Mytilus edulis: one gene and its partner. The protein of the gene in region 2 binds, or shares a complex with, the protein of the main gene of each other region. Links are inferred from orthologs where the notes say so. Each region holds a gene or a part of one and is shown on either strand. Other genes may lie near its edges.

The links.
Region 1: the proteins of GPI transamidase component PIG-S-like (region 2) and phosphatidylinositol glycan anchor biosynthesis class U protein-like are in contact, whole or in part, in a cryo-EM structure (PDB 8IMX), measured with the Homo sapiens proteins. The link is inferred for Mytilus edulis from reciprocal best matches to the Homo sapiens genes PIGS and PIGU. Residues at the interface, in NP_149975.1 of Homo sapiens: Ala4, Gly5, Ala8, Thr9, Glu12, Arg15, Arg18, Ala19, Phe22, Phe23, Val26, Leu30, Leu34, Trp35, Thr38, Thr39, Leu510, Leu511, Phe513, Ile521, Tyr522, Leu525, Phe526; in NP_536724.1 of Homo sapiens: Gln118, Phe282, Glu283, His284, Phe285, Leu287, Phe288, Phe289, Cys291, Val292, Phe293, Ile295, Phe299, Tyr300, Ile302, Pro303, Ile306, Lys307, Lys309, Glu310, Thr417, His418.

What each region holds. Positions count from the first base shown.
Region 1 is NC_092348.1:7,151,876-7,160,471, forward strand, and holds the start of phosphatidylinositol glycan anchor biosynthesis class U protein-like, read right to left. Parts: upstream 3,161-8,596; 5' UTR 3,101-3,160; coding exon 2,968-3,100; intron 689-2,967; coding exon 624-688; intron 179-623; coding exon 107-178; intron 1-106. UniProt on the Homo sapiens protein: Component of the glycosylphosphatidylinositol-anchor (GPI-anchor) transamidase (GPI-T) complex that catalyzes the formation of the linkage between a proprotein and a GPI-anchor and participates in GPI anchored protein biosynthesis.
Region 2 is NC_092347.1:87,617,847-87,626,058, reverse strand, and holds the start of GPI transamidase component PIG-S-like, read left to right. Parts: upstream 1-5,065; 5' UTR 5,066-5,132; coding exon 5,133-5,169; intron 5,170-8,212. Other genes in the region: stabilizer of axonemal microtubules 2-like, read right to left, coding at 1-80, 1,664-1,733, 3,289-3,338. UniProt on the Homo sapiens protein: Component of the glycosylphosphatidylinositol-anchor (GPI-anchor) transamidase (GPI-T) complex that catalyzes the formation of the linkage between a proprotein and a GPI-anchor and participates in GPI anchored protein biosynthesis.

The sequences.
Region 1 (8,596 bases), on a different chromosome or scaffold from region 2:
TGGACACAATTGAACCAATCAAACTGTAAACAGCAAAATATTATTTCTATATCCTAACTGTTGTGTGATTTAGTTTTAAAATTGCTTAAATCATTCATATACTTACAACAAACATCAGTAAGATTGTATGGTCAGAAAATGAAGTCATGAAACCCAGTATTCTTAGAACTAGTGGGGTCTGAAATGAAAATATACATCTCTCAGTTTAATAACAGTACACATTATAACACATTATAGTAAAAAAAAACTAAGACAGTATATTGTGAGGTTTCAACACAGTTTATATGTTTTGTCATCTAAAACATTATCATATGCAAATGCTTTCATCTATCTGGGATCTGTAACTTTCTAAAGTTACAAATATTACAGCTTTTCTCACTTTTCTGTCATTTATTGAATTAGATATATTTATTTACTTTATTACACAGCTCAGTAAAAATTAACCTCGGTAGAAATTAACTGTCTATTTAAAAAAACATCATTAAAAATAATTGAATGAACTCTTGTTTCTTTTGTGTTTTTTTTTTTACATCAGTTCCTATGAACAGTAGCACAAAATTCCATCACTTTTTTTTTATATATAGAATTAATATATCATTATAACTAAATTATGTATATATTACCTCATGAAATAAATCCCCAGCATAAGGCGATATCATATACTCCTTTAAAGCAATACCTTCCATCGCTGTGAATATAAGTTAAATGCATAATTAGCCTATTTCTGAACCAAATTTTGAGGCTTATTTTGAAACTCTACATGCACGTGACACTCACAGTGTTTCTTCCCACATTTGATTTTATCACAAGGGTGATGGCAACTATTTTTGGGTTTCAGGTATAACATTTGAGTACAATGGGATCAATCAGTTGATATAATCATCATAATAGAACACTATTTAACAAAAGGCAATTATTTGATACAGTGTCTTTCAGAAGTTTGGAATGAAACATGTACATCATAGTTCTTTAGTGACAGTTAAGATTTTGTTTATTCATGAAATTATATAAAAAAAAATCAAAGACCTGATAGCTTTGATAGAGTAATACAATAACTTGAATAACTATGAAAGCAGTCATATAACCACGCCAACCTAGCCTACTCTGTTGCTTTCGAAATAATATACTTACACATGTGATATGTCTCCACCAAAACATATAAAACTTACTATAAACATCTCTGAATATTGATGATTCAAATTAAATTCACTTTAATTCTATACAATGCATCTCAGTTCATTTTGCATGTTCAATTTTATTAAAGCAAAAACATTTGAATTGATTAGGATTCATTCAAAGGATTTTATGACACTGAAACTAATAATTTTCAGAAGGTATTAATTACAGGGATGGCTTAATCGCTTAAGGGAATTGCTGGTCCCATATGAATGATCAAATAAGTCTATACAAAGTTCATGTGCATTAAACTAGAAATTAGAAAAACAGTCCAGATCAAAAGATTTTCAGGGCATACCTGTATGTTTTCTACCTGTGAACTGGATGTAAAGGTATTTCTTCCAATATAATTGAAAATTTCAATTCAGAAACGTTTTCAATGAATGGTTAAAAAGCAAGAGCAGCCAGTTGGGAAAACAATAGTTTACGTCTCGGTTTCAGTGATCTGATCATTCTATTTTCTAATTTCTGCATTGATTTGGTAACCTGTCTTCAAAGTTATTTGACATTCATAATTGCCTGCTGTGTCAATGTTCTGTCTAGTTTAAATTGACAATAGGCTGTGTCAATTTGCTGTTTATCTTTATAAGCTGTGTCAAAGGGCTGTATAATTAGGTTTTCTGTATACAACACGTAAGCATTAAATGGTGTAAAACATGCCTACGCTTATTTTATTTGGAAATCATTAGTTGTAGTTCTAACTTCTATGTTGGTCAATCGTAAATAATTTATTTTCTCTTCTCACAGCAAAATGCCTATTGAATTGGCCATGTTGACATGGCAGTGAAGCACCTGTTTCATTAGTCCGAGATTACTCTGACGTCCAACGGCTGTTTTGCCAGACAAGCTGGGGCCGTGGGACGTCAGAGCTTGTCCCATATCAAAACGTGGATATTTGCCCACCCAAAATAGATGCGCTGCTTCGTCGCTTCTGATGCAGACTAACAGCCATGGAATTATATAAATTGGGCATCAATCTGTTCATTTTTCATTTATCTCTTCATTTATGTAAGTTTCACCTACCTGCCAACCTTTATTTTTCCATATTTTAACAGTTTTCACAGTGACCCATCGATTTCAGCATTTTGACTTTCACTTTCAAATGGACGTCAAGTTACGAGAGAGTTCGTGGTCTCGAGACTCAAAATATGCAAATATTTATATTTTTTCACCTCCTTTGTAGGAGATCGATGTTTTACATTTAGTAGCCAACCACGATTTTTCACCTCCTTTACAGGAGATCGGTATGAAGCATTTAGTTCCGACCACGTTACAAGTGGAAACTCTCGGACATTTAGATATCTTGCATCGTAAATGAACGAGGTGTTACATTATGGTCATTTGCATAAATCAACACTGTTTTCTCGTGGGTCACTGTGAAAACTGTTAAAATATGGAAAAATAAGGTTGGCAGGTAGGTGAAACTTACATAAATAGAGATAAATGAAAAATGAACAGAATGATGCCCGATTTATATAATTCCATGGCCGTCAGTTGGCATCAGAAGCGGCGAAGCAGCGCATCTATTTTGGGTGGGCAAATATCCACTTTTTGATATGGGACGAGCTCTGACGTCCCACGGCCCAGCTTGTCTGGCAAAACAGCCGTTGGACGTCAGAGTAATCTCGGACTACTGTTTCATAAGAGTTAAGGAACTTTTAACATTTCAATTTCGTGATAAGGTTGGACTAGCTTAAGCGTGAAAGAGTTGGAAGGAAAAACAAAATTATATGAAACTCAGCATCCCTCAAGTTGCGGCTCAACCGAAGTCCTCTCTGCATATTAATTTACCTCGCTCCCATGATGTTAATGGTGTGGAAACCTCTGGTTGCAATGAGATCCAATCAGGGAGAGAGGTCCGGAATAAGGCAAGTCGAATGATAATGCCACTAACGGTACAAAAGATGAGCGGGTAGCTCGACATTTTATTTCACGATTTCGATTTTTTTCGGTGTGCAGTGTAGCAATTGTTTTTGTTTGGTGAGCATTTTTTCGTATTAAATAAAACGTGTAATTGATCCTGATTCATAACGCAATTTTAGATACATTACCGTGCAAACATGATAATAGTCCGTCTTTTTTTCTTCTCTAAATAAATTCCTCCGTTATTGGAGCACCAATGACACACGCGGTAATAAAACCCTCCTATATAAATTTTTAATGTTTCTTGTAATAAGTAACATATATTCCCCTGCAACTCCCTGCTATCATAGTGTCAGAAGGACCACCAATCTTAATAAACATACAGACATGGAATTTTTAATAAACTCGTTTCTTATTCCATCATATCCAGCGGCTTTGTTATTTTTTAAATTTGTAATCACTTTGATAATTTCTTCCTCGGTAATAGGCCCATTTAAAATTTTGTCGAACTCATTTAACTATAGGTTAGGTAATTGAAACTCTTCCTCCTCATTTGCCACACTTTCGTTAAGCTTCTTAAAATGAGCATACATTACTTCTAGTGAAATTGGACTTTTCTTTTTTTGTTTCGGAGAGAATCTATTTAAAACTTTCCAAAATTCTTTCGGGTTATTTGTTGATATGTTACGAAGCTCTTTTTCTGTCTTCAACTGATAATTTTGAAAACATTTGTTTATTTCTTTTTTGTATTCCTTACTTGCTCTTTTCAGTGACTTCTTAATATTTATACTTTTCTGTATTTTATATTTATATTTTGCCGAGTGAAATTGTTTTCTTTTCAGCTTACATGATTTATTAAACCATGGTTTATTCCTAATTTTGGCCCAATGAGTTTTTTTAATCGGATTTTTATTAGCAAAGGTTCCAAAAGAATTCTTAGCTGCCTGCGAGTAAAAATTTGTTAAAATAGTTATAATAAAATTGAGAATGGAAATGGGGAATGTGCCAAAGAGACAACAACCCGACCATAGAAAAAAACAACAGCAGAAGGTCACCAACAGGTCTTCAATGTAGCGAGAAATTCCCGCAACCGAAGGCGTCCTTCAGCTGGCCCCATAACAAATATATACTAGTTCAGTGATAATGAACGCCATACTTATATCCAAATTGTACACAAGAAACTAAAATTAAAATAATACAAGACTAACAAAGGCCAGAGGCTCCTGACTTGGGACAGGCGCAAAAATGCGGCGGGGTTAAACATGTTTGTGAGATCTCAACCCTCCCCCTATACCTCTAGTCAATGTAGAAAAGTAAACGCATAACAATACGCACATTAAAATTCAGTTCAAGAGAAGTCCGAGTCTGATGTCAGAAGATGTAACCAAAGAAAATAAACAAAATGACAATAATACATAAATAACAACAGACTACTAGCAGTTAACTGACATGCCAGCTCCAGACTTCAATTAAACTGACTGAAAGATTATGATTTCATCATATGAACATCAGGCATAATCCTTCCCGTTAGGGGTTTAGTATCATACCATCATAACATATACGAGAAGAACATAACCCGTTTCATGTCAACAACTGTTTTTGAATAAATGTGTTTAGTTCCGATGCAAAGACCCTATAAGTGAATCAATATTAACGCCAAAATATGCAATCTTTAATGACCTGACAACAGTATCGTAACTATATCCCTTCTTAATAAGTCTATTCAAAGGTTTTGTTAGGTTTTGAGGTGAATACTGACACCTTTGTGCTTTATAAAGAATATTTCCATAAAAAAATGGATGTGAAATACCTGAACGTATAAGAAGTCTGCATGTTGAGCTATATTTACGAATGATGTCCTTATACCGATGATAAAATTTAGTAAATGTTTTGACTAGTTTGTGATATCGAAAACCCTGGTGTGATAATTTTTCAGTAATACATAAATTTCTCTCGTTAAAATCTAAAACATTGTTACATACACGAGCGAATCGTACAAGTTGAGATATATAAACACCGTAAGATGGTGACAAGGGAACGTCACCATCTACAAATGGATAATTAACGATAGGAAATGAAAAATCATCTCTTTTATCATAAATTTTAGTATTCAGCTTTCCGTTAGTAATATAGATATCAAGAATAACTCTGTTTATATCATGATTATCTTTTTTGAAGGATTTTATTTCATTACACAAATCAAGAACTTTTTCCTCGTTCTTTCTTATATATATGGTTAGTTATTGCAGTTACGTCTTACACGGTAAAATTGGCATTTTGAACACGGAACCATTGCTTTTTCATGTAAGATAAAATTTATCAAAATCAGGTTTTATTTAATTACGATTAAAATGATGAATAAAGACAAGTAATTATTTAATAATACGCATAATTGATTGGTTTTTGTCCTACTTTTGCATCAAGAAAATAGTGGAATTAATTACTTTTGGAGTGTCAAGAACTCGTTGGAAGTACTTGATAAATTGCATAGTTATATTGGTGATTTTGAATCTGTTCAAAGTTTTGATTTTTCTACCCTGTAAACCACATTGCCTCACAATCTCATTAAGAAAAATTTCACACACCTAATTAAATGGGCATTTAAAATGTCAGAATGTGAATATATATGTTCAAACTCTTTTAGGTCATTTTTTAGTAGCAATAAACAAAAAAACTATGTCAATTGGACATGCTTTGATACTATATATGCCCTTGAATTTTTACTAGATAACATTTTTGTTCGCTTTGGGAATCCCGGTATATCGTCAGATTATCGGAATTCCAATGGGAACTAACTGTGCACCACTTATTGCGGACCTGTTTTTGTATTGCTATGAGTTACAATTTATGACAAAAATAAGCAAAGACCCATCAAAACAACATCTGATAAACAAATTTAATAATACTTTCAGATATTTGGATGATATTTTGGCTCTCAATAATGACGACTTCAGTATGTAGACTTCAGTATGTATATTAAAGAAATTTATCCTGCTGAACTTACTTTAAATAAAGCTAATACTAACAATGACCACTGTCCTTTCCTCGATCTTGATATCTATATCACTAACGGAAAGCTGAATACTAAAATTTATGATAAAAGAGATGATTTTTCATTTCCTATCGTTAATTATCCATTTTTAGATGGTGACCGTGACGTTCCCTTGTCACCATCTTACGGTGTTTATATATCTCAACTTGTGTATGTAACAATCTTTTAGATTTTAACGAGAGAAATTTATTTATGTATTACTGAAAAATTATTACACCAGGGTTTTCGATATCACAAACTAGTTAAAACATTTACTAAATTTTATCATCGGTATAAGGACATCATTCGTAAATATAGCTCAACATGCAGACTTCTTATACGATCTTATGCGTTCAGGTATTTCACATTTTTTCATGGAAATATTCTTTATAAAGCACAAAGGTGTCAGTATTCACCTCAAAAACTAACAAAACCTTTGAATAGACTTATTAAGAAGGGATATAGTTACGATACTGTTGTCAGGTTGTCGTAATTTCTGCTTCTTGCTATGTTTTGATATAGTTATAAAGCCAGCAAATACGAATATCTCATAAAACTAGTAAATGCACGGGGTAATAAATAAATACGGACGTCAAATCTGTTGTCTGTTCTCTCTCATCATTGGTAGCGTGAATAACTAGTCAATAGTAAAATGATACTTTTATTAAACAGCCGATATATTTCCATACAAGTACAATATTCCAACAATAATATATATAATTTACATACGGGCGGAGCTACTAAAATAATATTCTTTCTCGTGTACGGGTCAACTGGAATTATCTTAAATATTTCAATGACAAAAAAAATTATAAATAAAATGCAAGGCATACAGCTATCTGCGCTGCTTCTTACCTCTAAAATTATAACCCTTACTTGTAATATAAAATGCGAGGCATACAGCTAATGCGCTGCTTCTTACCTCTAGGAACCCCCGGGATGAGCCTTGCTGCAAGCCAAAAGTAAACACAGCAAAGACTGACGAACGTGACGTTGCACTGGTATTTATTTCAAATTACCGGAAGTAAATATTCTAAGCAGGAAGAAAAACATAGCGTAACATAACGTAAAACGCTTACATAAAATATAGGAGTCCTCGACTCAAAATGCTTATAATCATACACTCTTATGAATAATCAAATATAGACATACCAATTCTTCCAGTTAAGAACACTTAATAAAACACTTTTGGGTTCACGCTTAAAACATTGACCCAACGGTAACGTTCTGAACAATACATGACAAAGTTGCACTTTATTCCCATAAACGACGTTATAGATACAGCTAATAACATAAAGTAAAACGTACGTAAATTACTCATTCAATATACTAAATACTAGAAATAACTTCTGACAACTCATATAAACTCTCATAATACAATAATAACAATATTCCTTTACTTGGAAATAACCAATATACACATTTACAACACAGGTCATTAAAGATTGCATATTTTGGCGTTAATATTGATTCACTTATAGGGTCTTTGCATCGGAACTAAACACATTTATTCAACAAGAGTGCACACGCTGAAATGTCTCGCCTTCTATACTAATCATTGATATTATGTTGATAGTCCTAAGTATAAAGCTTAGTTTTATTACAACTGTCTCATAAACTTAACATTAACCAAGATAACTAAACAAAGACCAATGAACCTTGAAAATGAGGTCAAGGTCAGATGAACCATGCCAGGCAGACATGTACAGCTAACAATGCTTCTATACAACATATATAGTTACCCATTACTTATAGTTTAAGAAAAATAGACCAAAACACAAAAACTTAACACTGTGCAATGAACCGTGAAAATGAGGTCACCGTCAAATAAAACCTGCGCGACTGACATAAAGATCATAAAATATTTCCATACACCAAATATAGTTGACCTATGGCATACAGTATTAGATAAAAAGACCAAAACTCAAAAACTTAACTTTGACCACTGAACCATGAAAATGAGGTCAAGGTCAGATGACATCTGCCCGCTAGATATGAACACCTTACCATCATTCCATACAACAAATATAGTAGACCTATTGCATATAGTATGAGAAAAACAGACCAAAACACAAAAATTTAACTATAACCACTGAACCATGAAAATGAGGTCAAGGTCAGATGACACCTGCCAGTTGGACATGTACACCTTACAGTCCTTCCATACACCGAATATACTAGCCCTATTGCTTATAGTATCTGAGATATGGACTTGACCACCAAAACTTAACCTTGATCACTGATCCATGAAATGAGGTCGAGGTCAAGTGAAAACTGTCTGACAGACATGAGGACCTTGCAAGGTACGCACATACCAAATATAGTTATCCTATTACTTAAAATAAGAGAGAATTCAACATTACAAAAAAATTTGAACTTTTTTTTCAAGTGGTCACTGAACCATGAATATGAGGTCAAGGACATTGGACATGTGACTGACGGAAACTTCATAACATGAAGCATCTATATACAAAGTATGAAGCATCCAGGTCTTCCACCTTCTGAAATATAAAGCTTCTAAGAAGT
Region 2 (8,212 bases):
ATTGTGGCTGCGACCTCATATTTATTGCTTTTTGGACGTATAGATGTTCTTGGTTTCTGGAATGGCCATTTTCTGTAGACCTGTTTAATGAGAAAGCCTTCAATGATTCAACATTTTATTATGTTGTATGTATATATACAAGTAAGTGACCGTCATGTTCTGTAACCACGACCTCAGTTGGCATTGATTTAATTAATAACAATACAATGTATTATATTTTATTATACTTCACGTTAAAATGCAATATTTTGATTGGTTAATACTAGGTTGTTAATTTACTCTATCGCATGGCTGAGCGGGTGAGCATTTTTTTTTATGTGACCCTCTCGTCTAGACCAATCAAAATCGACAATTTAAAGGCATTGTTTGATGTAAATTCGATTCATCAAGGTATTAAAGACAATGCTTAAGTTCTACGTTTTGGCTCAGATTCTATAATTTGACTGAAAATAAAAAAAATAAAACATCTTGCTTCACTTCTGTTGATTTTTCTAATACCTGTAACGTTGTTATGTACATGACGTCATAGAACATACTTTTAAATTAATTCATCTGTAAAAGACAATAATGACTGGACATCCAGTATGATAAAGGTATCCCTCGAAAAAGCATTGTCAACCTTGATGAACAAGATGTTTATGAAATTTTACAAATAACTTCGGTTGATCATTTCTGACCAGTTTATATAAAAATAAGAAGATTTGTTATTACTGAGTACGAGACAACTATCCAGCAGAGACCGAATGGTTTAGAAATTAACAACTGTATGTCACCGTACAGCCTTCAACAATAAACAAAACCCTTGCCGCAAAACAGTTTTAAAAGGTCCCGAAATGACAACTCTGAACCTATCCAAACGAGATACGGCCAAATGAACGAAATAAAATACGATATGCAGCAACAAACAAATACTAGTACCACGGATTTACAGGATACTGACCATAAACAGGCACATACAGTTACTTACAAATAGTTCCGATCCAATAACAACAAAGAAAAAGAGCATTATCTTAAACTAAAGCATCAATCAGTACACACAAAAAATATCAATGGATTTAGTTTTAATACGTCATCAACAGCAGAGACAAACATGACCTTGTGCATTGCCAAAATACGGGTATCAACGGATTGTAGAACCGTGAATGTCTATCTATTATACGTTTTTTGAGATAATAACCAGAAATGCTGAAATTCGTCTTTAAAGCACAAAAAAACTCCATAGTACAAACATTTTTTGTATTACTAGTAAGCCGTTAAAGGTCTATATAAAAAATATGAAATACACAAATTCAAATGGTATACGTCTGTTTCTGTTTAAAAGTTATTTTTTTCGGAAATGTATTGAAAGATAAACTGACATCTCTCTCAATTCAGTCATGAAGATACAATTTACTTAGCATATTTTGCGAGTATATAATTTTATCAATATTGACTTTGTTTTAAAATTTCAAGGAAAAAAACAGTGGAAGATATCGTCTGTATCATTAACTTGACTTTTATTACATGTAAAGACGTTTATTTATCAATGTTGGCTTTTGTTTTCGTTATATTTCTTCATTTGCTTTCAGAAATGTACTCCGTGTTGCGTTGAGGTGCATTGTCACCTGATTGCTATACAAACCTGTGTATATTAGTATATGACCATAAAGTAAATCAAACCTACCGCCTGGTATTCGGATACACTGTCAATTTTCTTCGACTTATAGTTCTTTGCTTCAAAATGAGGAATGCCCCTAAAAAAAGACATTTATTTAAAGTCAGTTTAATTCATGAAATAATGAACGTGCATGCTTTTGTTATCGTATCATGGCACAATGCATGTTGTTTTTTTAAAACACCGAATCTGAATCTGTCTCTTACCTAGGTTTTAATTTGTAAAGTTATATTTATTGGTGCAAATCCCAGTCATAGCGTACCACTCATTAGAACTATTGATTGATTGATTGTTTGATCTCCAGTTGCATCCTAGTATAAAGTTTAAACAGTGCACCATTTTTTAGGGTTCGCTGGCACAATATCCTTGCCCTTACCTGGTGTTACAGTACAACAAAAAATGAACTGACGAAATCAGTTGAAACGGGAACTTCGTGTCCGTATATACTCCATTGGTGTAAAAAGGGAAGAGACGTATGATTGTCAAGAGAATCAGATAACATCGTAAGGAGGCCCAAATAAACACGGCAGTGCTGAAGGAAACAACTTGAGGGGGATCTTATTTTTTTGTCTTAATTCTTTGACTGTTTAGACTTTCTTATGTGAAACTGAAATTTAGAATATGAATGTCAGTTATTGCTTTATATATATATAGTAGATTAGAGTAAAATCAGTTCTAAAGGGTAAACTTCTTTTGCCGTATGACTAAACAGTTCTTCATTATTTTAAGCAAAAACATCATCAAGGTAACGGTAATTATATTTAATTTCCAATTAATTGGTTTCAGACGAATATTTTCTACACTGTGTAAGTGTGGCCATAAACTGTGGATCATTACAATACAGGAACAAGTCGCCATTTAAGAGGGCGCAATTAGTGCCCATATGAAAACCTTCTACCCTTTAGATAAGCATACTGCCGAAACTTACATAGTTTTTGTCAATAATATAATTGATAGCTTTTATCATCTCATTACTGCTCCATTAACAATATTGGCTTTCTTTTACTTTAAGGGTCCCTATACTTTAGAGGTAGGGTTCATTCATGGTAATGGTTAGGTTAGGGGCTGTTTTAGGTTAGGGTTAGTATTTAGTGTTAGGGCTAGTGTTATGGTTAGGTATGGGTAAGGGTAAGATTGGGGTTTAGGATAGTTAAGTATAGCTCTATAAGAGTTGGGACCCCTAAAATAAAAGAAGGCCACAATATTTGTCACATTTACCTCTTTTTTATTAGTACATGTAAAATGATATATGACCCCTTTTTGTTGATTACTGTATTTGTCAACGTAAATGACATAATTACAAAATACTAAGCAAACTCATTTATGCTTTTAATGATATTGATACAATTTATTTCACAATTTGCCATAAGTAGCTTTTCACTGCAGCAAAAGCGTTCCAGATTGTATTCCAGACAAAAGGGGCTATAGGCGATATCCTCAACTTGGGATGCTTGGATAGATTTGAATTAACGACCAGTTAAAATTCATTTAATAGATTAGTATTTCAACAAATACTGTATGTACCAATTTACAAATGATATCTGCACTGAAGCACATACTGTTGTCTCTCTTTCCCCCTCACTCTCATAATCTCTCTGGAAATTAATCGACTAAGTTTTTTATATTTTTTTTACCTTGGATTCTTCACTGGATCAACCACGACGATAATTTTAGAGCTGGACATTCCTTAGCGGTACGCGAAAAACGGACGTTGATTTTTTTCTCCTCCCTCACCCGCATCCACTTCAACTCCCTTCGTTACCGGCTCAACAATGTGACGTTAACGTCTTTGTGATGACCAAGTGTATAGCAACGGTCAAGGAGATCAATGGTGACGTCACCCATAGCGTAGAATAGTTTGGTTATTCTTTATTTATTTCTAAATCTGTATTAGTTGCATTAAACGTACTGATTATCAAGTTTTCTTTGGTTTTGTTTAAAAATATTTTATATTTCTCCCAAAAAAAAATGGGAACGATTGTTGTAAAAATTATAACTGAAACGGCAACTGTTTTAAAAAAAAATATATACGTTTTACTTATATATGAGTTATCAATACACGCGTATAACTGCATCCAGCACTATAATGTTATATATACTACATGTGCTTTCTGGGAAAGACACATGCAGTCTTTTAGAACCTGAAAACTCTGTTGACCATCGAAGGGCGAACTGTCAAAAGAACACTAGAAAGTAATTACTGAACCGTTTATATATGGATTTCCGAAGCTTGTCTTTTTGTTAGATTTTTTCGTTTCGTTGTTACTTTCACATAGACGCGTACCCAACATCCCTTTTATTCAAATGAAAAATGCAGTTTATAGATAAAATCAGTTGTTTTATGCATTCTTAACATGCACTCTAAATTGGAATTTGTAGTTTCAAATTGGTTTCGTTTATCAATAATTTTGCATAAAGGTTGTCCTAAGCAGTTATAATATCAAGGAAGTCTATAAAAGATATCGGTCGATCACTACTAATGAATGTATGGTTTATTTGATTTGAAACAAACATGTTTGAGTTTTGGATATAGTGTATTGTTTGTAGCGGAGAAATTTGTCTTAGTATTTACTGACTTTACTGGTGTGCACGGTAAAAAACATCGATGTAGTGCTATTTCGTTTCGGCAAAAGTTTAAATCTTGCCCATTACAGTACCCGTATAACTTTCCCCGCACTTTCTCCCATGTCGAACTATACTTTGTATCGTTTCAGTGTTGATTTGTTTTTGTCTTTAATATGCATGGATATTTTGCCACTGAACTTTAAACTGAATTTCTAAAAGAAATCATGAGGTTTATACAATGAATTTTACGAATTAATGTTTGTTGAAAAAACCCCATAAAAGTACTAGGTCCGTCCGACATTTCTAAACAGTGTAATGTCAATATTTTTCAGTATAATAATTCAGATATGGATAGAAACTGCACATTGCTAGTAAATAAAGAAATAGTTATGCCAATCACGGTTAAAAACGATAAACTTGATAATAATTTGGTACAAATAGATAGGAAAATGACAAAAAAAGATTTTAAAAACAATGATAATAAAAATTTTAATCTGCTAACCGAGTCCATGTGACACAGGCACTTGTATCAACAACAATAAAATAATATATATATACCTTTATATAACACGGTATATATGTGGGCAGGAAAATTCTGAAACAAGTCGGGAGTGTAGTCTCAGCTGTGCCCTGTTACTTAGATTGAACTCATCGTGTCAAATTATCAGAATATGGGGATTTTTTTTCTTTAAAACGGTGACTTTTAAATTATCTATTGATTCAATATTAAAATTAAATCATTTTCATTTAAATTCGCGCAGTCTGTCAGAATTCACTCACTAAAAGGACGTTATCGGTTATCGGTTATCGGTTATCGGTGATCTTCTTACGGTATTCAGATAGATCGCTTTCCACTGGTTTCTGGTTTCCAATCGATAAGGAACCAGACACGGCATTATCCGGCAACATAAAAATGAAAAAGTCGGAGGAAAAACAAAAACCAGTCACACGTAAATGAGGAAATTATTAAAACATAATTATTGTGTCCATATCTGAATATGTAGATGCTTGTCATTGTATGCACAAGTCTTCATAAGTTAATTTGTAACAGTCATTCCAAAAACTGATCACTATAAAGTGTTGACCGATGGCCTAAGGCTAAGTATAGTAAGCCACCTCTGTTCACTACTAAATCAAGAACAACAGTACTGTGCCAAATAATTTGACCATTCATTCAGGGTGTTTGTATATCTCCCAGTACAAGGAAAGCATCAATATCCCAAATTACTTTCGAAATCATGAAAATACATGCATCATAAAACATTTTATACTATAGGCTAATGATATGGTATCACACAACACAATTTCAGCTTTACCTCAACTGACTGCATAACACTCATTATCCGAATAACACATGTAATGACCGAATAACACTTGAAATTTTAATATTAGCACATATTTGTAACTTTTAAACATTGATTATTAAATAATAATACATTATCGATGTATTTTATAACTTACAAATGATTTGCAGAAAGCAGATAAGTTCATTAAAAACTTTTTAAATTTAGTGTGTACATCGAACGATGGCGGCCACAGAAATCACAATGGCCGCCATGTACGATGTACACACTAAATTTAAAATGATCTTTATGAACTCTTTTTGCTTTCTTTAAATCATTTTTAAGTTATAAAATATATCGATGATATATTATTATTTAATAATCAATGTTTAAAAGTCACAAATATGTGCTATTATAATTTCAAGTGTTATTCGGTCATTATAAGTGTTATTCGGATAATAACAGTGTTATTTAGTCATTCATGATGCGGGATTGCCGATTTTTTGTAAGCGTGACACGTGAAAGTCAAAATATTGTGCCGTGAAAACAGGAAATGAAGTCTAGCGGGACACGGGAAATTACAAAAAAATGATAGTTGCTTACAATAGTGTAAACGGGATACGGGAATCTGACAAAACAGTAAGCGGGATCCGGGATCAGAACCCCCAATGAGACCCCCTTCATATACTAGATATTCCTCCATAATGACGCTTTTTGACGCCACCCCCTTTGCTCCATAATGACGCCTTTTAACGCCTGTGTAGTACCTCAGTTGAAACGCTTTTGACTACAAAATGTCTGCATCAGACTTAAAAAAATTAGCATCCAATATGAAAAGGATATTCATAAGAATATCTGATTTGAATTTCATTGATGAAATATTCATTTTCACAATGCATTAATACTTTAAACCTGATGATTTTTTTTTTATTAAAAAAATCCTATGCAAATCAAGTATGTAAGAAAATAAATTCCACAGAGGAAAGGGTTAACAAATAATGTGTTGTTACTGTTTCAAAAAGTTATTTTTTGAGTTACTTAGGATCAAGTTTTCTTTTATAGCACAATATTATAGGAAATTAGAAAAGAGAAAGTCAGAAAAAAACTACAGCACTGGCTTGCTCTACCTACTCATATTTATGGAAAAGGCCTTATGGAAGAGCCCTATTTCAAGACAATTTTCCCTCAAATATGTTTTCATTTTCAATATTTTCGTGAAATTACAAGTGTTTTTGATGTTTAAATATTCGTATGTAATTAATAGAGGGGGGGGGGGGGGGGTCAAATTTCTCAAATGTGTTTACTTGGGGATCAAATGAAAATAGTGAAATATTATAGCACTGGCTTGCTCTACCTACTCATATTTATGGAAAAGGCCTTATGGAAGAGCCCTATTTCAAGACAATTTTCCCTCAAATATGTTTTCATTTTCAATATTTTCGTGAAATTACAAGTGTTTTTGATGTTTAAATATTCGTATGTAAATAGAGGGGGGGGGGGGGGGTCAAATTTCTCAAATGTGTTTACTTGGGGATCAAATGAAAATAGTGAAATATTATGTATTATGGGGGGGATCAAGAAATTTTATATGTTTGATTTCAAAAAGTCCCTTAATTAAATGATGTTTATTCATGATACATACATAATCATTAAGACTAAAGAGTTTAATTAAATGATGATTATTCTTTTTGAAATGCATATTTTATATACAAATTATAATATCTATGCAACTATTCTTTAAATTTTCAAAAGAAATTTATTTTTAAAAACGAGGTGCCGGATTGTCTTGGTGTGCCGAAATGTCTTCGGACTTGGGTGCTGATAAGTCTTGTTATCAATATTTTTCCTCTTAAATCGATTGAAATCCCTGAACTAAGTGTTTACTGAGTGACAACCAATCTTGAAGTGAAAATTGCAGGTATGTAATTTAACAGGTAAATGAAAGTGAGAAGATTTCAACTGATGTTTCAATCATAAAACGTATAACAGAACTTTGGTAAACAATTTTGAAACAGTGAAGTAGAATAAATCTTGCAAGAAAGTAAAATCCTTTCTCAGTAATTAATCATTTTTATTAGAATAAAAATTTCCAAATTTCTCTCTCGCACACAACTCATGAGTTAGAGTCAGACTAAGACTAAGAGTAATTAGATAATAGACCTTCTTGCTATTTCAGTATTTAGGAATGCATGTAGTTCAGTGGCAGATCCAGAAATTTTTATAAGTGACTGCCTGAGACGGGCCTACTCTGGTCTTGCTTCAGAGATTCCAAATATAATCAACCAAATTTTTCCCAGAAAACAATCTACTCAAACTCAATCCCCCTTTGTAGTTACAGTTTTGTGTTATTTAATTTTGATCTCTGAAATACATAACATGTAATCTTTACAGAAGTTTACACCATAGCCTTGTAAATCATCTTGAAAAATTTCCTTATCTGTTCAGTATGTATTTTTTACTAAAAGAATTATCTCCCCTTAAATGGCTTATTTGAAAAAATGATTTTAAGAACACAAAATTTGATATTTGTTTAAATGTTTTGAGTTAAACAAAATAAATCCACAAGTTTTCCTTATATAAAAAAAACCCCCACAATCTTATCAATAACAGGGGCATACATGTAGCTGCCGTTAGCACATAATTTTTTCACAAATATTTTTTTTTATTGAAAAAAATAATAAACAACGTTATATGTTAATAAAAGCCGTCG